2 linked regions of the Stegostoma tigrinum genome follow. The protein of the gene in region 2 interacts with the protein of the main gene of each other region in a biochemical or structural test. Links are inferred from orthologs where the notes say so. Each region holds a gene or a part of one and is shown on either strand. Other genes may lie near its edges.

The links. The genes of interacting proteins can lie anywhere in the genome.
Region 1: the proteins of clint1a (region 2) and ap2b1 form a complex in vitro, tested with the Homo sapiens proteins (2 studies listed by BioGRID and IntAct, with this or other methods). The link is inferred for Stegostoma tigrinum from reciprocal best matches to the Homo sapiens genes CLINT1 and AP2B1.

Annotation. Positions count from the first base shown.
Region 1 is NC_081380.1:7,249,795-7,260,396, forward strand, and holds the start of ap2b1 (AP-2 complex subunit beta), read left to right. Parts: upstream 1-6,016; 5' UTR 6,017-6,122; intron 6,123-10,602. Other genes in the region: pex12 (peroxisome assembly protein 12), read right to left, coding at 1-238, 2,717-2,845. UniProt on the Homo sapiens protein: Component of the adaptor protein complex 2 (AP-2). Adaptor protein complexes function in protein transport via transport vesicles in different membrane traffic pathways.
Region 2 is NC_081366.1:70,227,916-70,238,521, forward strand, and holds the start of clint1a (clathrin interactor 1a), read left to right. Parts: upstream 1-5,765; 5' UTR 5,766-6,064; coding exon 6,065-6,105; exon of another isoform or gene 6,106-6,268; intron 6,269-10,606. UniProt on the Homo sapiens protein: Binds to membranes enriched in phosphatidylinositol 4,5-bisphosphate (PtdIns(4,5)P2). May have a role in transport via clathrin-coated vesicles from the trans-Golgi network to endosomes. Stimulates clathrin assembly.

The DNA of each region.
Region 1 (10,602 bases), on a different chromosome or scaffold from region 2:
CTATTACCACCAGCAGGGATCTCCAGTGCTGGGTTCTTGGGAGCCCAAGACTGGCTAATCTCCATAGTCCGTGACCACTACCCAATGGAATTCTTTTCAGACCGTAAAAGTTCTCAGAGAAGGAAGCACTGGTCCTGGACAGATAGTGATGCTCAAGCAGGAGGTCTAGCAGCACGTAGATTTCATCGAACCATCGCCATAGAAACCCATAGCGACTGGGGTTGGATTCCGCAAGCACCTAGAACAGAAACATATGCTCTGTCAAAACATTGTGCCTTGTGCCAGGATGTCAGTCAGTAGACTGACTGTCAGAAGTTAGTATTGCTCATTTCCACATAGGTATCTTAGCATCCTTAAAAAGTAATATGAAAGATCACGGAAATGAGATTGGAGGAAAGCCAATATAGACCAGTTAACCTGGATTTTTGTGCATTTTTAAATTCTATTAACATTAAGCACCCCTTTATTATTTGCCGTCACACTATGGCTTTTAATCCCCTCCTCTTCAGGAACACCCAGTTATCTATGGAACACATTGACTTCAATTTTATTCCCTGATATCTTACTCTACAGTTATATTTACGTCTTTTAGAAATATGTTCTTCCCTATTCCACTTCTCAGTGCTGACTTGCAAACGTACTAACTTATGTTCCCTTTCCCCAGTGGACAATTTGTTTGTCTCTGTATATATATATATTTTACAAAAAATATAATGGTGCACATTGTTAGAATTCAGTAACATTCAGGGTCTTAAAAAACACCACACACCTTGCATAATTTCAAATGAAATATCACTAAATGCTTTTCACAAAGAGCTCACTGGTTTGCATTTTGCTAATCCTGTCTAGATTACAGTACAAATTTAACCCTGTGTGAAAACGCGACTGTGCATACAGTGAATGGGGTATCCTGGCTTCTAGCATCAACTGTCGCATTCTTAGAGACATACAGCATGGAAACACGACCCTTCCATCCAACCAGTCCACGCCGAACATAATCCCAAACTAACCTAGTTCCATCTGCCTGCTCCTGGCCTATATTCCTCCAAATCTTTCCTGTTCAGGTATTTATCTGAGTGTCTTTTAAATGGTGTGACTGTGTTCACATCCAACACTTCCTCAGGAAGTTCCTTCCACATGCAAGCCATCTTCTGAAGTAAAAAAAATGTCACCCCGTGTATTTATTAAAATCTCTCTCCTCTCACCTTAAGATATGCCCCATTATCTTGACAACGCCCATCCTAGGGAAAAGACACCTACCATTCATAATCAAAACCTAACACTGTCCCTTACCTCAGCACTGAACACGTACAAGAATCAGGTGAAAACAGAACCAATTGGTGTGTAATACTCCCTAATGAAATGAAAAGTCCTCAAATGTTCAGATATGTTAAGGGCAGCTAAAGAAAGTGTTTGAATCCATGATTTCCAAAGCAGGATACCACTGGAGTTTTACTTCAACCATTTCTGGGCATGTTGCAGATTTGTTCATCGGGATTCGTTGCTAAGATCAGTCAACTTCATTATTGCGACAATAGTGTTAAATGGGCCATATTTCTATTTTGACTCCTGAATGGTGTGTTCGTCTAATGATTATGTGCACAACTGGAACCTATGGGATTATATTGAAGAGTAATCTCTTTTTTTTATTTCCATGACTCAATATAGACTCGCATTGCTGAGATCACAACCATGCAAAAACTATCAACTGAAGTTCAGGTTAAGCTCGAGTACAGCATCTTCATTTCAATTCCATTAAAACATACTTGGTCCCTGTGGGATTAATTTAAAAAGAATCCAGAGAATAAACATACATGGTTCACTCAATTCTGATTCGACAAGTGGCTTGATGTTCAATTTACACTTCCTTCATTTCCCTCTATCAGAGATAGTAGGAACTGCCGATGCTGGAGAATCTGAGATAACAAGGTGTGGAGCTGGATGAACACAGCAGGTCAAGCAGCAGCAGCAGGAAGGCTGACGTTTCAGGTCCGGATCCTTCTTCAGAAATGATCCAGAAAGGGTCTAAACTGGAAACATCAGCCTTCCAGCTCCTCTGACGCTGCTTGATCTGCTGTGTTCATCCAGCTCTACAGCTTACTGCCTCCCTCTGTACCACATTGGTCAACACAGCTGGAGAATCCAGTAGCTTAAAAGTACTGTCAGAATCAGAGAACATGTGAGAGATAATGGGAACTGCAGATGCTGGAGAATTCCAAGATAATAAAATGTGAGGCTAGATGAACTCTGAGGCTCTGATGAAGGGTCTAGGCCCGAAACGTCAGCTTTTGTGCTCCTGAGATGCTGCTTGGCCTGCTGTGTTCATCCAGCCTCACATTTTATCATCAGAGAACATGTGAAGCAGGTTTACACCATAATTCCTAACTGTGAATCAAGGGTGAATTTGCACTTGCAACAACATGTGGAAGACTGACAAATAATGCTTTTGTCTTTAACATTGTGGTTCTAGTCAAGAAAGAAAAGGTCGTTATTTTTCGGAAATGAGTTGAAGAGTGAGTCACCTCTGGGTCATCTTCGACCGAAGTACCTGACTCTGGGCCTCCATCCGGAGGCGCTTTCGGCCTTAGGCCAGCCTGCAGCCCTTGCTCCTAACCCCCTGGGACAGCGGCAGCTGCGCCTCCGATTCCAATCCGCGGAGGCGGCAAGGACCCTCTGCCTACCCTTCCTCCTGGGGAGGGCACGGTACGAGCCTCACCTTGCAAGCATGTTGCGCGGCGGGTCTGACCGCCGACATCAACGTGTCCTGAGCAACCACCTCAAAGATGGACGGCCGGCCCGGGCTGACAGCCAGGCCGCCCGTTAAGTGAGCACCGCGCTCCGCCATGGCCGCACCGTCTCCTGGGGCAACCGGCGGATGACCCCACCCACCGCGTGATCCGAGACGGAATAGGGCCTGCCCACCACGGCGCCCCGCCTATCCGCTCGCCGCGCCCTCGGAGGCAACCCCGCCCACTGAGAGGACACCGCCACGGCGATGCTCCGCCCACTGGGTCGCCGCGCAACCCCAATGCACGCGCCCGACAGTGCTGCCGCGCCCACTCAAAGGCACGGAGCTGCTCTACTCCGCCCATTGACGTTCCGCGCCCGTAGTGAAGCCCCGCCCACCTAGTCGTCCCACGATAGCACGTGGTCACTGCAGTTTAAGGAAGTGCAGAGACAGTGGGACTCGGTGAACTTCAGGTAGTGCAAAGGTGGGAGGTCGAGAGTGTACCTGACTCCCTACGGCTTGCTGTTCTACACTACCTAAGTCCCTACTTGTAATTGTGTAAGATCTGCCCTTGTTTGTTTTACCAAAATGCAATACCTCACATTTATCCACATTAAACTTCATCCGCCACTCCTCAGCCTGCTGACCCAAAAGATAATTTGTAATCTTAGATAACCTTCTTCACTGTCTACAGTACCATCAATTTTAGTGTCATCTGTGAACTTAATTACCATTTAATCATTTAAATAAATGACAAACGAAAGTGGACCGAGCACCGATTCCTGTGGAACACCACAGGTAATGGACACGAAAACAAAGTTGCTGGAAAAGCTCAGCAGCTCTGGCAGCATTTGTGAAGAAAAAGAACAGAGTTAATGTTTCGGGTCTGGTAACCCTTCTTCAGAACTGGTAAAGTGCAAAGAGTCTGATAAATAACTCTCCGCCACCACTCTGTGCCTCCTGCCAGTTTTACATCTAATTGGCAAGCTTTCTCTGAATCCCATGTGATCTCACTTTACTAATTAGCCGATGATGCAGAAACTTGTCAAAGGCTTTTCTAATGTCCGAGTAAACAACATCTACTGCTCTGCCCTCATCAACCTTCTTGGTTACTTCCTCAAAAAAACTCAATCAAGTTTGTGAGACGTGATTTCCCTCGCACAAAACCCATGCTGACTATCCCTAATCATTCCTTGCCTCTCTGCATGCACGTAAATTTTCTTTCAGAATCACCTCCAACAACTTACCCACCACTGAAGTCAAAATCAAAGGTCAATAGTTCCCGAGCTTCTTCATACATTCCCTTTTAAACAAAGGCACATTAGCCACTCTCCAATCATCCAGCACTTCACCCCATAGTTATAGATGACACAAATATTTCCGCAAGGGGCTCCTCAATTTCCTCCCTAACTTTTTACAACATCATGGGATACATTGGAACAGATCTTGAAAATTTATCCACCCTTTATATTTTCTGAGGCCTCCAGCACTTCGTTTTTGTAATGTGAACTGTTTTCAAAACATCAATATTCATTTCCTTTCTTTCATTTCTTTCTCCACTGACACAAAACATTCATTTAATATCTCTCCTATCTCCTGAGATTTAACACAAAAATGACCTCTGATCTTTAAGTGTCCCTACTGTCTCTCTATAGCTCAGGTAAATACAATTCAGAACCAGACAGAATACAGAATGTTCAGAACTGACAATGCAAAACCAAACATGAGGAGCAACAAAGGATTATGAGAAAATATTTGCAGGTAATATAAAAATAATTATTAAAATCTTCTACAAATACATCAATAGTAAAAGGGTTGTAAAAAGGGGAGTAGGACCAACTAAGGATAAAAAAAGAGTTGACACTTAAGAGACATTAGGCATGGCTGGAGCGAATAATGAATGAATACTTTGCATCTGTATTTACCAGGGAGGCAGATACTGCCCAGGCCACGGTGACAGAAGAGGGAACTCAGTCACTCAAAGGGTTTGAAATTAGTGAGGTGGTATTGGATAAGCTATTACTACTTAGACGTGATTAGGCCTTGGGATATTGAGGGAATGGAGAGTGGAGATTGCAGAGGCGCTTTCAATGATCTTTCAGTCTTTCCTACATTCAGTGACGGTGTATGGTTGGAGAGTTGAAAACTTCATGCCTTTGTTGAACATTGTTGTTTAAGTCAGTCCACTGATTACAGAACACTCCATTTAACTCTAGTGATGAAGAAACATGTAGAAGCAATTATTTGGCATAGAACGACTCACCACAATGAAAATGTGCATTGGTTTGGAGGACTCAATATGGATTTATTAAAGGACAATCTTGCCAAAGTTACTTGCTGGAGTTATTTGAAGAGGTATCAGAGAGGATTGATGATGGGAAAATTGTTGTGGTATGCACAGACTTCCAAAAGGCATTTGATACAACACCAAGCAACAGTTCTGTGAGGAAAGATACAGAACAAGGGAAAAAAAAGTCAGTAGCAACATGAATACAAAATTGTCTGTAGAATAGGAAACAAAGAATTTTGGTTAATCGGTATTTTTCAGGCTGGAAGGTGGTTTGTAGTGGACTTCTTCGTGGATTGTTATTAGAACCCTTGCTTTTCCTGATCCATATCAACGATCCAGATCTTGATGTGCAGGGGACAATTTGAAAGTGTCGTGGATGACTGAAAATTTGGAAGAATTGTAAACCACAAGGAGGTCAGTGTAGAACTTCAAAAGAACATAGATAAACCAATGGATTGCGTGGATAGGTAGCAGAAAGTTCAATGCAGAGAAGTGAGAAGTAATGCGCCTTGGTACAAAGAACACTGTTCTAAAGGGAGCACAGGAACAGAGAAACCTGGACGTTATGTATGTAAGCCGTATCTGGTAGGACAGGTGTAGAGAGCTTTTAATAAAACTTACATTACTTTCGGCTGAATTAATAGGGGTATAGAGTACAGGAACAAGACGATAATGAAGAACTTGTGTGAGACATTGGTTATAGCTTAGTCGGAGTGTCTTTGATTAAAACGAATGAAGAATGTCAATCCTTTAGTGGAGAAAAGGTTTACGAGAACATTTCAATTGATGGGATACTTCCGTTATGAGGAAGGGGGGGAGTGAAGGGTCACCCGGGGGAGGGGGAAGCGGTGATGGTTCACCCCGGGGGGGAGAGGAGGGACCACCCCCGGGGAGAGGGCGGAGGAACTGAGGGGTCGAGACACAATCTCTGTCTGTCTTCAGGCTCCTTCCTCCTGCTCTGTCCGTTCCTCCCCCTGTTCCCCCGCCCACATCCGGCCCGGCCTCCCCGGGACGGTTTTTCCGGGTACACAGTGCCTCTCCCACTCTGGGTGGTTCCATCTCTGCTCTCTCCATTTCCCCGGCTTCATCTCGGGAATCTCACAGGTCGGTCTTTTCACCCGTAAACCTCTCTCTCTGTGTCTGCAGCTCCCGTCTTCAGGCCTCGCTCTTCACAGACTGTGCCCACTGCCTTCACCCTCATCCCGCCTCCTGACCATCCCCGGTCCCGGCCATCGCCCAATCGCTTCAGACCCGCTCTCTTCCCCCACCCCCCGACTCCGCACCCCAACTCCCCTCCCACTCCAAGCCCCCGACTATCTCCACCCCCCCCCACCCCCCCCCCCACCTCCCCCCCACTCCCCCCCCCACCCCCCCACCCCCCCCCCACCCCACCCCCCCCCACCCCCCCCACCCCCCCCCCACCCCCCACTCCCCCCCCCACCACTCCCCCCGCCACTCCCCCCCCCACACCCCCTGCCACTCCCCCCCCACACCCCCTGCCACTCCCCCCCCACACCCCCCTGCCACTCCCCCCCACACCCCCCCCCACACCCCCGCCACTCCCCCCCCACACCCCCCCCCACACCCCCCCCCACACCCCCCCCACACCCCCCGCCACTCCCCCCCGCCACACCCCCCCACACCCCCCGCCACTCCCCCCCCACACCCCCCGCCACTCCCCCCCCACACCCCCGCCACTCCCCCCCCACACCCCCCCCACACCCCCGCCACTCCCCCCCCACACCCCCGCCACTCCCCCCCCCCACACCCCTGCCACTCCCCCCCCCACACCCCCCGCCACTCCCCCCCCGCCACACCCCCCGCCACTCCCCCCCCACACCCCCCGCCACTCCCCCCCCACACCCCCGCCACCCCCACACTACCACCCCACTCCCCCACACTACCCCCCCACTCCCCCACACTACCCCCCCACCCACCCGCCACTCCCCACAACCCCACCCACCCCCCCCACTCCCCCCACCCCCCACTCCCCCCACCCCCACCCACCCCCCACTCCCCACACCCACACCCACCCCCCACTCCCCACACCCACACCCCCCCCCCCACTCCCCACACCCACACCCCCACCCACACCCCCACTCCCCACACCCCCACCCACCCCCCACACCCCCACCCACACCCCAGCCATTCCCTGCCACTCCCCACCCACCTCCCACCACTCCACCCCCCACTGCCCCGCCATGCCACTCCCCAACAACCCCCCTGCCCCGCTATGCCACTCCCCAACAACACCCCCACCCCCCCGCCACGCCACTCCCCCACCCACCCGCCACGCCACTCCCCACCCACCCGCCACGCCACTCCCCACCCACCCCCCGCCACGCCACTCCCCACCCACCCCCCCGCCACTCCCCACCCACCCCCCCGCCACGCCGCTCCCCCCGCCACTCCCCACCCGCTCCCCCCGCCCCCCCCCACCCGCCCCCCCCCGCCACGCCACTCCCCACCCGCCCACCCCGCCACGCCACTCCCCACCCGCCCACCCCGCCACGCCACTCCCCACCCGCCCACCCCGCCACGCCACTCCCCACCCGCCCACCCCGCCACGCCACTCCCCACCCACCCCCCCGCCACGCCACTCCCCACCCACGACCCCTGCCCCCCCACTCCCCCGTCGCGCCCCCCCCCCACTCCCCCGTCGCGCCCCCCCCCACTCCCCCGTCGCGCGCGCCCCCCACTCCCCCGTCGCGCCGCCCCCCACTCCCCCGTCGCGCCGCCCCCCACTCCCCCGTCGCGCCGCCCCCCACTCCCCCGTCGCGCCGCCCCCCACTCCCCCGTCGCGCCGCCCCCCACTCCCCCGTCGCGCCGCCCCCCACTCCCCCGTCGCCCCCCCCACTCCCCCGTCGCCCCGCCACGCCACTCCCCACCCCCCCACCCCCCCCCACTCCCCCCCCACTCCCCCCCCTCCCCCCCCACTCCCCCGCCACCCCCCCCCACTCCCCCGCCACGCCACTCCCCACCCACCCACCACCACGCCCCCGCCACCCACCCCCACTCCCCCCCCCCACCCACCCCCACTCCCCCCCCACCCCCACCCACCCACCCCCACTCCCCCCCCCACCCACCCACCCCCACTCCCCCCCCCACCCACCCACCCCCACTCCCCCCGCCACTCCCCACCCCCACTCCCCCCGCCACTCCCCACCCCCACTCCCCCCCGCCACTCCCCACCCACCCACCCCCACTCCCCACCCACCCACCCCCACTCCCCACCCACCCACCCCCACTCCCCCGCCACCCACCCCCACTCCCCCGCCACCCACCCCCACTCCCCCGCCACCCACCCCCACTCCCCCGCCACTCCCCACCCACCCAGCCACCCCCCACTCCCCACCCCACCCACCCCCCACTCCCCCGCCACTCCCCACCCACCCACCCACCCCCCACTCCCCACCCACCCACCCCCCCACTCCCCACTCCCCCCCCACTCCCCACCCACCCACCCACCCACCCACCCCCCCACCCCCCCACCCACCCCCCCACCCCCCCACTCCCCACTCCCCCCGCCACTCCCCACCCACCCACCCCCACTCCCCCGCCACGCCACTCCCCACCCACCCCCACTCCCCCGCCACGCCACTCCCCCACCCACCCACCCCCACTCCCCCGCCACACCACTCCCACTCCCCCGCCACTCCCCACCCACCCACCGCCACTCCCCCCCCACTCCCCCCCCCACCCACCCCCACTCCCCCCCCACCCACCCCCACTCCCCCGCCACGCCCCCCCCCACCCACCCCCCACTCCCCCGCCACGCCACTCCCCACCCACCCACCCCAACTCCCCCCGCCACGCCACTCCCCACCCACCCCCACCCACCTGCCACCCACCCCCACTCCCCCGCCACGCCACTCCCCACCCACCCACCCCCGCTCCCCCGCCATGCCACTCCCCACCCAAGCCCCCACTCCCCCGCCACACCACTCCCCACCCACCCCCCCCACTCCCCTGCCACGCCACTCCCCACCCACCCCCCCCACTCCCCTGCCACGCCACTCACCGCCCACCCTCCCCCACTCCCCACCCACCCTCCCACACTCCCCACCCACCCTCCCCCACTCCCCACCCACCCTCCCCCACTCCCCACACTCCCCACCCACCCTCCCCCACTCCCCACCCACCCTCCCCCACTCCCCACACTCCCCACCCACCCTCCCCCACTCCCCACACTCCCCACCCACCCTCCCCACCCTCCCCACACTCCCCACCCAACCCCCCCAACACTCCCCACCCACCCCCCCCACCCCCCCCACTCCCCTGCCAAGCCATACCCCACCCACCCCCCCACTCCCCTGCCACGCCACTCCCCACCCCCCTGCCACGCCACTCCCCACCCCCCCACTCCCCCGCCACGCCACTCCCCACCCACCCCCCCACTCCCCCGCCACGCCACTCCCCACCCACCCCCCCACTCCCCCGCCACGCCACTCCCCACCCACCCCCCCACTCCCCCACTCACCCCCCCACTCACTCCCCCACTCACCCCCCCACTCACCCCCCCACTCACCCCCCCACTCACCCCCCCACTCACCCCCCCACTCACCCCCCCACTCACCCCCCCACTCACCCCCCCACTCACCCCCCCACTCCCCCACTCACCCCCCCACTCACCCCCCCACTCCCCCACTCCCCTGCCACGCTACTCCCCACCCACCCCCCCCACTCCCCTGCCACGCCACTCCCCACCCCCCCCCCACTCCCCTGCCACGCCACTCCCCACCCACCCCCCCCACTCCCCTGCCACGCCACTCCCCACCCACCCCCCCCACTCCCCTGCCACGCCACTCCCCACCCACCCCCCCCACTCCCCTGCCACGCCACTCCCCTGCCACGCCACTCCCCACCCACGCCACTCCCCACCCACCCCCCACTCCCCCGCCACGCCACTCCCCACCCACCCCCCCCCACTCCCCCGCCACGCCACTCCCCACCCACTCCCCCCACTGCCCACCCCACTCCCCCCCACCCCACTCCCCCCACCCCACTCCCCCCCCACCCCACTCCCCCCCCACCCCACTCCCCCCCCACCCCACTCCCCCCCCACCCCACTCCCCCCCCACCCCACTCCCCCCCCACCCCACTCCCCCCCCTCCCCACTCCCCCCCCTCCCCACTCCCCCCCCCACACCACTCCCCACCTACTCCCCTGCCACGCCACTCCCCACCCACTCCCCCCACTGCCCACCCACTCCCCCACCACCCCCCAACTCCCCGGCCACGCCACTCCCCACCCACCCCCCCCACTCCCCACCCACCCCCCCCACTCCCCACCCACCCACCCCACTCCCCACCCACCCCCCACCCACCCCCCCCACACCCACCCCCCCCACTCCCCACTCCCCACCCCCCCACCCCCCCGCCACGCCACTCAACCCCACTCCCCCGCTGCGCCACTCCCCCTGCCACTCTCCCTGCCCACCCCGCGCTCCACGTGCCCGCGCCCCACTACCCCGGCCGCCCCCCCCCCCCCGCGCCCCACTACCCCGGCCGCCCCGACCCCCCCCGCCCCCCCCACCCCGACCCACCCCCCGCGCCCCCCCCACCCCGACCCACCCCCCACCCCC
Region 2 (10,606 bases):
GAGAATGAAACCTTTGAAGAGCAGGTGTGCACGCTGGAATGGATAGACATAGAGGAAGCTGATGTGTTGAAAATTTTGTCAAACATTAAGATTGACAAGTCGCCAGGCCCGGACCAGATTTGTCCTCGGCTGCTTTGGAAAGCGAGAAATGCAACTGCTTTGCCACTTGCGGGGATCTTTGCATCCTTGCTCTCCACTGGAGTCGTACCTGAGGACTGGAGAGAGGCAAATGTAATTCCTCTCTTCAAGAAAGGAAATAGGGAAATCCCCAGCAATTACAGACCAGTAAGTCTCACGTCTGTCGTCTGCAAGGTGTTAGAAAGGATTCTGAGGGATAGGATTTATGACCATCTGGAAGAGCATGGCTTGATCAAATGCAGCCAACACGGCTTTGTGAGGGGTAGGTCATGCCTTACAAACCTTATCGAGTTCTTTGAGGATGTGACTAGAAAAATTGATGAGGGTCGAGCTGTGGATGTGGTGTATATGGACTTCAGTAAGGCATTTGATAAGGTTCCCCATGGTAGGCTCATTCAGAAGGTCAGGAGGAATGGGATACAGGGGAACTTAGCTGTCTGGATACAGGATTGGCTGGCCAACAGAAGGCAGCGAGTGGTAGTAGAAGGAAAATATTCTGCCTGGAAGTCAGTGGTGAGTGGTATTCCACAGGGCTCTGTCCTTGGGCCTCTACTGTTTGTAATTTTTATTAATGACTTGGATGAGGGGATTGAAGGATGGGTCAGCATCTTTGCAGACGACACAAAGGTTGGAGGTGTTGTTGACAGTACAGAGGGCTGTTGTAGGCTGCAGCGGGACATTGACAGGATGCAGAGATGGGCTGAGAGGTGGCAGATGGAGTTCAACCTGGATAAATGCGAGGTGATGCATTTTGGAAGGTCGAATTTGAAAGCTGAGTACAAGATTAAGGATAGGATTCTTGGCAATGTGGAGGAACAGAGGGATCTTGGTGTGCAGATACATAGATCCCTTAAAATGGCCACCCAAGTGGACAGGGTTGTTAAGAAAGCATATGGTGTTTTGGCTTTCATTAACAAGGGGATTGAGTTTAAGAGTCGTGAGATCTTGTTGCAGCTCTATAAAACTTTGGTTAGACCGCACTTGGAATACTGCGTCCAGTTCTGGTCGCCCTATTATAGGGAAGATGTGGATGCTTTGGAGAGGGTTCAGAGGAGGTTTACCAGGATGCTGCCTGGACTGGAGGGCTTATCTTATGAAGGGAGGTTGACTGACCTCGGACTTTTTTCATTGGAGAAAAGGAGGAGGAGAGGGGACCTAATTGAGGTATACAAGATAATGAGAGGCACAGATAGAGTTGATAGCCAGAAACTATTTCCCAGGGCAGAAATGGCTAACACGCGGGGTCATAGTTTTAAGCTGGTTGGAGGAAAGTATAGAGGGGATGTCAGAGGCGGGTTCTTTACACAAAGAGTTGTGAGAGCATGGAATGCGTTGCCAGCAGCAGTTGTGGAAGCAAGGTCATTGGGGTCATTTAAGAGACTGCTGGACATGCATATGGTCACAGAAATTTGAGGGTGCATACATGAGGATCAATGGTCGGCACAACATCGTGGGCTGAAGGGCCTGTTCTGTGCTGTACTGTTCTATGTTCTAACTACCAAAGCATCCACCTTTATAGCCACCTTCTTCAACACTCTCGGATATAGTCCATCCAATCCAGGAGATTTATCAGTCTTTGATTCATTAATGTTTTCTGTTTAACCACTTTATTAATACTAATTTCTTTATTTGCATAAGTCTCCCAGTCCTCAATTTTCTAAGAGATTTTTTGTACTTTCCTCAAAAAGGACAGATGAAAAATACTTGTTCATTTTCTTTCCCATTTCCCCATTCTCTATCTTAAATTCTACAGTCTCTGCTGATTTTGCTTAATTAGCTCATACTTGCTCAAGTAATTTTGCCCTGAATTATATTTACTGAAAGTTTCCTCATCACTGAGGATCGTTAGTTTCCTCATCATTCTCAGTGAACCAGTCCTAGTGTTTATTGGTTGACAGGCCCAGTATCTCTGTGCAAATGGAGACTATGGTGGCTTTTAGGGTGGGCCAAGTGCTGACGGCACACTGCAGCTGTGGCATGTGGTTGTGTCAAGGTGGCTGTGAGGTGATGCCTGACTAGATCTTTCTTCCCAGTAACACTAAATCTCCTGCGGCAGAGTTTTTTCTGCTTATGCTGGTTTGGGGCCAGGTTTCAGAGATGGTAGAGTGGATTAGTTGTGGTCAACTCAGCAGTCATTGGCTCCAGTAATGCATGGATGATGCAGACATCCTTGTGGTCCTTGGATGAACAATGATGCAGCCTTTTAGGCGTCAGTGTTGGAGCGGGGTTCTTGCCAATGAGGTCCCGTGCTTGTCCCTCTAGTAGAACAGAGCGCTCTGATACTAACTTCTGCCATTGAGGGGCAGTATGAAGTTGACACTGGCGTATGCATAAACTCAGAGGCCAAGCCATAAACCATCATCGAGGCATTCACTAAAGCAATAGGAGAAAATGGGCCTCGGACTAAACATCTAAAAATAAAGGTTCTTTACCAGTCCTCTCCTGTCATACAACCCCGTTCCCCACTACCATCACAGTCCATGGTGAGCCCCTGGACATGTGAATCATTTTCATACCTCAGGAGCCTGCTCTCAGTACAAGCAGATATTGATGATGAAATGCTACATCAACTCCAACCTCCAGTAGTCTTTGGATGCCTGAGGAATAGTGTGTTCAAAATTTAAGGCCTCAAACTCAGCACCAATCCCACGGTCATCAGAGCAGCCTTGGTTCCCCACTCTCTTGTATTCATCGGATATATGGATTATATATGGCAGAGACCTCAAATCCCCAGAGATTACCAGCACTACCTTCACAATATCCTGAAAATCCACCAGTAGGATTAGCATACCAATAGGAGCATCCTTTCCCAGGCTGATATCCCTTGTAACGAGGCATTGGTCATGCATAACTAGGTGCAAGGTGCGACCATTGTCCACATGCCCAACTCAAGATTCCCTAAACAAGCGCTCTGTTTCAACTTCTAAACTGTAGGTGATCACTAGGAGTACAAAGGGAATGATGCCCTCTCTAAACAAATACCACACCCCACTGAAAGGTGGGAATTGCTTGTCTTAAAATGCAGAAACCAGAGATGAAGTATCTGCAAAGATATCAGGTGTGAAACATGTCACCAAGTGGACCATATGGAGACCAAAATAAGCAGCAGAAAGAGCACATGGAATCCAGGGCATTCTCACCCAACTGTTTATCAAACACAGCCCCACCTGTGGCACAGTCTGCAGCTCCAGGATTGGGCTATTCAGCCACGACTGAACCCAAGTCAACACACTGTGGAGCTGGAGCAACACAGATCAGGCAGCGTCAGAGGAGCAGGAAAGTCAATGTTTTGGGTTTACATCAGGAACACTTGCTGTGTTCTTCTGGTTTTACACTGTATTGATTCTGACTTCAGCATCTACAGTTCTTGCTGTCTTCTAGTTGCTGAAAACGCTGATGCAAAGCGTCTTTCATGAATACTCACCTTGAAGTTGTCCTTCTCCCTCTGAAAAGATCTCAGTGGATCTCTCTCCTACTGCAAACCCCTGGTGATCTTCTCTGTTCTGAAGTTCTTCAACCACATTCTGAAACAAATCCATTACTACAGCCATGTCTCCTTTCTCAGTACCTGCCTACATAGCCGGCTCATGCCCCTTTGACTTCAAACAATGTGCAGATCATCCCAATTTGGATCAAACCATGACAATCGTTATCTACAGTACATCCTGATCTGCTAGAAACAGTTTTCTTTGCGGATCCTCAGCTCCACGTTTGCAGCTTTGTGCTGGCAACTTCTCTCACTACAGTCAGCCCTACCCTAGCTCATAGCTTCTCTTTCTCAGGTCTGCAAAGGACATCTACTGTTTTTAATTCTACGCAGGATCAGTACCCTCAACAAACGCTTTTTCTCCACCCTATTGGCAGGATGACAGTTGGAGATGAAGAAGTCGAGGAAGGGTAGGAGGCCATGGAGTGGTGTCCAGGAGGATGGAGTTTGTCGGAGACAAGTATATCAAACCTGCTCACGCTTAGCTCCAAACACAGACCTCTCCACTACCCTAGACCCCAACCCTATCCACGACCTCATCCTAAATTCAACTGGCGCCAATAACCACACGGTCGCCTCAGTTGCTCCCGCTGACGCCACTGACGTCACTTCTGCCAACGCTGACAATGTTGCTTCTGCCGATGCTGACTATGTCACTTCTGCTACTGCCGCTGACTACATTGCTACTTCTGCCTCTGCCCACGAGTTCCCATATATGCAACCATTCCCAAGACAGACTCCACCCCAACTTCCAGCTTCAGCTCTAGACCTAACCCCAGTCCCAAGCCCTGCAAGGTATTCATCATCACCCGAGACCTCCCCCTCACTGAGGGCGAACAGTCAGTCCTCAACAAAGAACTCACCTTCATCCCCTTGTACCCACACATCATCAAATTCCATACAGATCTAGTGTTGAGCTATTTTTCCACCACCGCCACACCTGTTTTTTTTTGATCAGGAGTCTTAGTCACTCTCTGAAGACCTCTTCTCCTGCCTCTGAAAAACTCCATCCGCCTGGACACCACCCCATGGCCTCCTACCCTCCCTCGATCTCTTCATCTCTAACGATCATCATGACTTCAATCGCCTGAATCTCTCCACCCCTCTCACTCACTCGAACCTCTCCGCAAGCGGAAGAGACAGCCCTCCGCTCCAACCCCAACGTCACCATCAAACATGCTGATAAGGGGGATGGGAGTTCGCGGTGGTGGTATGGTGTACTAACCTCTACATCGTGGAAACCGGGCACCAACTCTCCAACACCCCTTACCGTCCACTCCGCCCTTGATCACCATCTTCCAGGCCATCAATAACCTCATCACCTGGGGAGACTTCCCGCCCACAGCCTCCAGCATCATCGTTCCCTAGACCCGCACCGCCCGTTTCTATCTTCTGAGTCCTGATGAAGGGTGTGAACCCGACACGTCGCCTTTCCTGCTCCTTCGATGCTGTCTGATCCGCTGTACACTGTATTGACTCACGCTAAATTGCCTGTAGTTTCAGGGATGTGTAGATTAGGTAGGTTATAGGGACATAGGTCTAGGTGGTATGCTGCGAGGATCGGTGTGGACTTGTTAGGCCGAAGGGCCTGTTTTCACACTGTAGGGATTCTATGGCTAATGATGATGATGACTCCAGCATCTGCAGTTCTTGATATCTTCCTCTTTATTTTGGCTGCCGGCCTGTTCTCAGGCTCTCTCCTCTTTACCAATTCCTCACACACTGGTTCTTGGATAACGCAGCTCTGAATAAGAGTACAGAAAACTATCGAGGAGATATATATTCAGTACTTACACACAAGATCACACCAAAACACGACCGTACTCCGAATGCTCCCGCTACCGCTTCTTCTAGCGCACGGAGAACAGTCGGCGCAAGGTCCTCCTTATGGGGCCTTTTGGGACATGTAGTTCTCCGCGGCATCAGAGCAGAAAGGAGAAGCAGTGAAGGTGTCTTGGAAACTACAAATCCCGGCCTGCACCACGCAGTAGCCGTTTGCAATCTGCGACTCGCGCTGCAGCTCAACATTTAGCACGCGAAGCGCTGAAAGGATGGAAACCGCAAAGAGGCAGTGCCTGAGCATGAGAAGGCGGGACCTGATTCAGATGACGCTGTGCGTTAGTCGCCGTGATGACGTAGCAGTGCGTTCACGCATTGACTAGTTGGTAGCCGGCAGCTCAGGAGAAAGAGGAGGCGGAGGTTAGCGGGGTTAGAGGGTAGGGGTCCTAGCCAGGCCTAGGCTTCTTTTTAATTTGTTAACTGTCAGTCCTGGCTGTAGATCAGCGGGAATCATCCTTGACCTGGGCCGTGGTGGTGGGCGGGGCGGGGAGGGGTGGAGGAGAGGTGGGGAGAGAGAGGTAAAGGGCCAGAGGACTAAACTAAACCATATTACCGGACGGGGGAAAGAAATCCGCTGTCGAAGCGAGAGAGAAAGTGAAGATGTTGAACATGTGGAAAATGCGCGAGCTGGTGGACAAGGCGTAAGTACGACGATGAAGCGTGCGGTTGAAGTGATCAGAAAGACGGTGTTAGGGGGGAGGGGGGATACGATGGGAAGAACAGGTTGGAGGCCGCTCAGAGGCGACACGTCAGTGGGTGCGCGACGCCAGACCAAAGGCGCCGCTGGGACACAGTCATGGCCTCTCTTCCTCCAAGCGCCGGGGCCTCTCCTTCTCCCCCCTACCTCCTCTTCCCCCTGTTCATTCGACTTGACCCACTTTGGGTGACCTGGAGCGACGGTGGATTCTTATTCCGCGCATACGCCTCTCCTGAACTCTGTCAGTCGAGCCCGGGCTCATCTGAGGTTCGAACCTCCCATTTCTAGAGACTTCTGCAGGCTGGCACTCTAATACTCGGAGGGAGTGCCTTTGACACTTTAGGCCAGACATTGACATCGATATTTGTCTTGGGTTGGGTGGAAGCCTTTTACAGGGCTTCAGGAGTGTTCCGTCATGTCATCCTCGTCAATATTCATCCATCAGCTGACATCACCAAATGACAGACTATCTGGTCATCTTTGTCATTGGGTTTTCTTGGTGAATTTTTGCTATGTGTAAATTGACAGCCCATTTGATCTTGTAATAAACAAATGATGACACCTCAAAAGCAGTTTATTGGTGCTGACCTGGTCTTGGGATGCCCCGTCTGCAAATTATTTTATTCTTGATTAGGTCATTATTTAATGATGTTGAGTTATGTTTGCTGGGTCTTTAAAGGGTATTCTTTCCTGGGGGGAATTTCTTTGAACGCTGTTATCCACTTATAACAATGCTCACTTGTTTGCAATAAGTGAACTTCAAAGCTTGCTTTCATTACTTGCCGTTTCTTAAATTTTAATCCAATTTTGTATGATGTGTTCCAAGATTGTATCCAATACTTGCTGAACGCTCAATCCAGTGACTTAGTTTGTAGGTTGTTGGTACAGCCCTGGTTTTGTGCCAGGCAGTATAGGTGAAAAGTTTGTCTGAGTTGTAGAATGATAATGCTTTGTCATTGCTTTTATACTGACATCTTATTTTAACTTAGTTTTGAAGATTCCACATATGTTTGTGGAAGCATTGCTGTCAATGCTTCCAGCCATAAACGTTGCTTGATAATATAATTGAATTTTGCAACAGTACAAAATCCACGCCCTTCTCATTTAAGCACTTACTGTATGCACGTTTGCTGTCACACTTCCTATGTTGCATAATCCCTACACTTTTTAAAAAAAACATCATTGGCTGCAAATACTTTTGACACACCTGGTAGTAATAGAAGTTGCAATGCACTTTTTGATTTGTTCGTAGGTTGTGGGCATTCTTTGCTTGATCAGCATTTATTGCGCATCCCTAATTGTCATGGAGATGGTGGCGGTCACCTGCTGCCTTGAATTACAGCAAGCCAAGTGGTATAGGTGCACCCACAGAGCTGTTGGGAAGGAATACAAAGATTTGATGGAATAGCCAGGAATGAACAGTGATATAGTTCCATGACATACGTGCCAGACTCTTTCTAGAATTTAGTTCTTACTTTATAGTCAGATTTAAAGTTTTATTGTCTAAAGCAGCATTTTTGTGCCTAAAGCCTCTCGAATTCCCCAGAATGACAGCGAGGAGTTGGACCTCATAACTGTCATGAATTTTTCCTGAGGCTGGACAGTCTGCTGACCATGGTACCAGGAAGTTTTGTTTTTGGGAATTAATGTTAAAATTTACAGGCACTTTCCCTGTTTTCTTTGTATATTGGTGCTTAGGGTTGCAGCATGACTAGTTTTGGATTATAAAACACTCCAGACTGCTTAAAACGTGTTTTAAAACGTAAACAAACACATGATTTTATATTTGTAAACATTAAAATTGGTAGTCTTCATCCATTTTGAATAAGATTGAGCACGTCTTAAGGATGGGATTTAGTTTTAAGGCAATTTTTTGAAAATGCATTTTATAAACGTATATCTTAGTGAATTTTGAGTTCTTACCTAATTTAAATGGGCATACAAAGCAACATTTTCATTCAAATGCTTTTGATAGGCACTTACTGAGAAAATATGAAGAATCGTACTTGTTGGTAACATTTGAAACTGTAACATTGCACTTTCATGTGTTTTATAACGCAACCTTGACATTAGAAAATAATTGAAAGACTTGAAGTAACTTTCAGAAAGCAACAGACTGTCAACATTAGTTTACATACTTTACATGTATTTGTTTAGATTGCTCGTGATAATGTAATTGCTGAGAAAGAAATACCAGCAAAATAGTCAGGCTTTGTCAGGGACATAAACTTGATGATCGCTGTCTCTTTCTTTTCCTTTTTCTTTATTTCATCCTCCCTTCTAGTTGCTGAGTTAAGACTGGGCATAGTACAGCCAAAAGCCTTGTTGGATTTTGCTTAGAAAGACATTCTTCATTGATGTACAAGCTATTTGACTCTTAAAAATGACATAGCTTTAAGGGTGATCAACTTGTTCCACAGGAGAGGCTACCACATTCCAGCAGCCACCATTCTCATGCGAACACACTTGCACAATTACCTACAATTATGCGGATCAATCATGGATCACTTTTCAAATACTCACCCCTCTGATGGGTGTAGTTTATAAAGTGGAGATTTTTCACTAGAAGAGAGCAAAAATAAAGTAGCCAAAAATTAGTAACGACTGACTAACTGTTTTAAATGATGGAGTTATTTTCTTACCGAGTTGTTTCTGCTTCACATTGTCAAACGGAGTTCAAGAGGATGAAAAAAGCAAAATTGTGACCTTTTCATATTTAGATATAGTAGTTTTTTTTTCTTGTTTTCTCCCCCCCCCCCCCCCCCCCCCCCCCCCCGCCCCCCAAAAAGTAAATCATTTGTTTTGACGAGAGAGCAACCGAGTGATACATATCAGGAAACTCTAATCTCTGGATTAATGGCTATGCTAACTGAGCTCATCTCTGCTAAGGCAACAGTGGCTCGCTGCTGCTTAGTTTGGAAAGAGATAAATGACCAGGGATATGGTTGTCATATGGAGTTGTTGATGGAAGTTTGTTTGCGCTATGCAGGCCCTGAAGTCACTTAACTTGATGGTGACGGTGTAATTTGTTTGTAAGTGATAAATGGGAAGTTGTATCTCAATAAAGAGTTGGCTTTGGGAGTGAAGGACAGTGGAAAGTTAATTGCGATGGGTTCACAGTGCTTTTTTTTAGAAGAAAAACTTTAATGTTGGCATGTTTTGCATTGCCTTGAATTGTTATTTCGTACAGCTTGAATAAATCCATGTTTGCTGTTGTCTTGCAATAAATTGAAGCATTCTTGTTACAAGTTTACACTTACTACAGTAAGATCATATTGCTAAGCTTTGATTTGCTATAGATGGATTAAAGGTTTACAGCACCGAAAGAGGCCCTTGATGGCCCAACATGTTAGTGCTGGTTATTGAGGGCCTATCTAGTCTAACCCTGTGTTCCATTACTTGACCTGTAACTTACATGCTGTGACGTTTTAAGTGTTTACCTGCATACTTCAGCGACAAGAGGGCCCCTGCTCCTGCCGCTTCTTAAGGCAGTGTATTCCAGATACTTCCAACACTTTTGGCGGGGAAAAAAAATCGTCCAGTCACCTCTAAATTTCCTGCCACTTACCTTCAATTTATGCCCCGGTTAATCGACCACACTACTACTGTACCAATGTCTCCCAAATTTTGTACATTTCTAAGGAAAACAGCCCCAGCCTATCTAGTGATAATGGGAACTGTAGATGCTGTAGAAACCAAGATAACAAAGTGTGGAGCTGGATGAACACAGCAGGCCAAGCAGCATCAGAGGAGCACAAAAGCTGACGTTTTGGGCCTAGACCCTTCATCGGAGAGGGAACTGGAATAAATAGGGAGAGAGGGGGAGGCGGACCGAAGATGGGGAGAAAAGAAGATAAGTGGAGAGGAGAGTATAGGTGAGGAGGTAGGGAGGGGATAGGTCAGTCCAGGGAAGATGGGCAGTTCAAGGAGGCGGGATGAGGTGGTAGGTAGGAAATGGAGGTGTGGCTTGAGGTGGGAGGAAGGGATGGGTGAGAGGAAGAACAGGTTAGGGAAGCAGAGACAGGCTGGCTGGTTTTGGGATGCATTGGGTGGAGGGGAAGAACTGGGCTGGTTTTGGGATGCGGTGGGGGAAGGGGAGATTTTGAAGCTTGTGATGTCCACATTGATACCATTGGGCTGCAGGGTTCCCAAGCGGAATATGAGTTGCTCTCCATCTTTGGTCCGCCTCCCCCTCTCTCTCCCTATTTATTCCAGTTCCCTCTCCCCAACCCCCTCTCTGATGAAGGGTCTAAGCCCGAAACGTCAGCTTTTTTGCTCCTGAGATGCTGCTTGGCCTGTTGTGTTCATCCAGCTCCACGCTTTGTTATCCCAGCCTATCTAGTCTTTTTTTGTAGCTGAAATGTTCCAGCCCAGGAAAATCTAGTGAGTCTTTGTTTACCCCTCTACTAAACCTTTCACTGTACTCCTGTTGTCACTTGTACTAG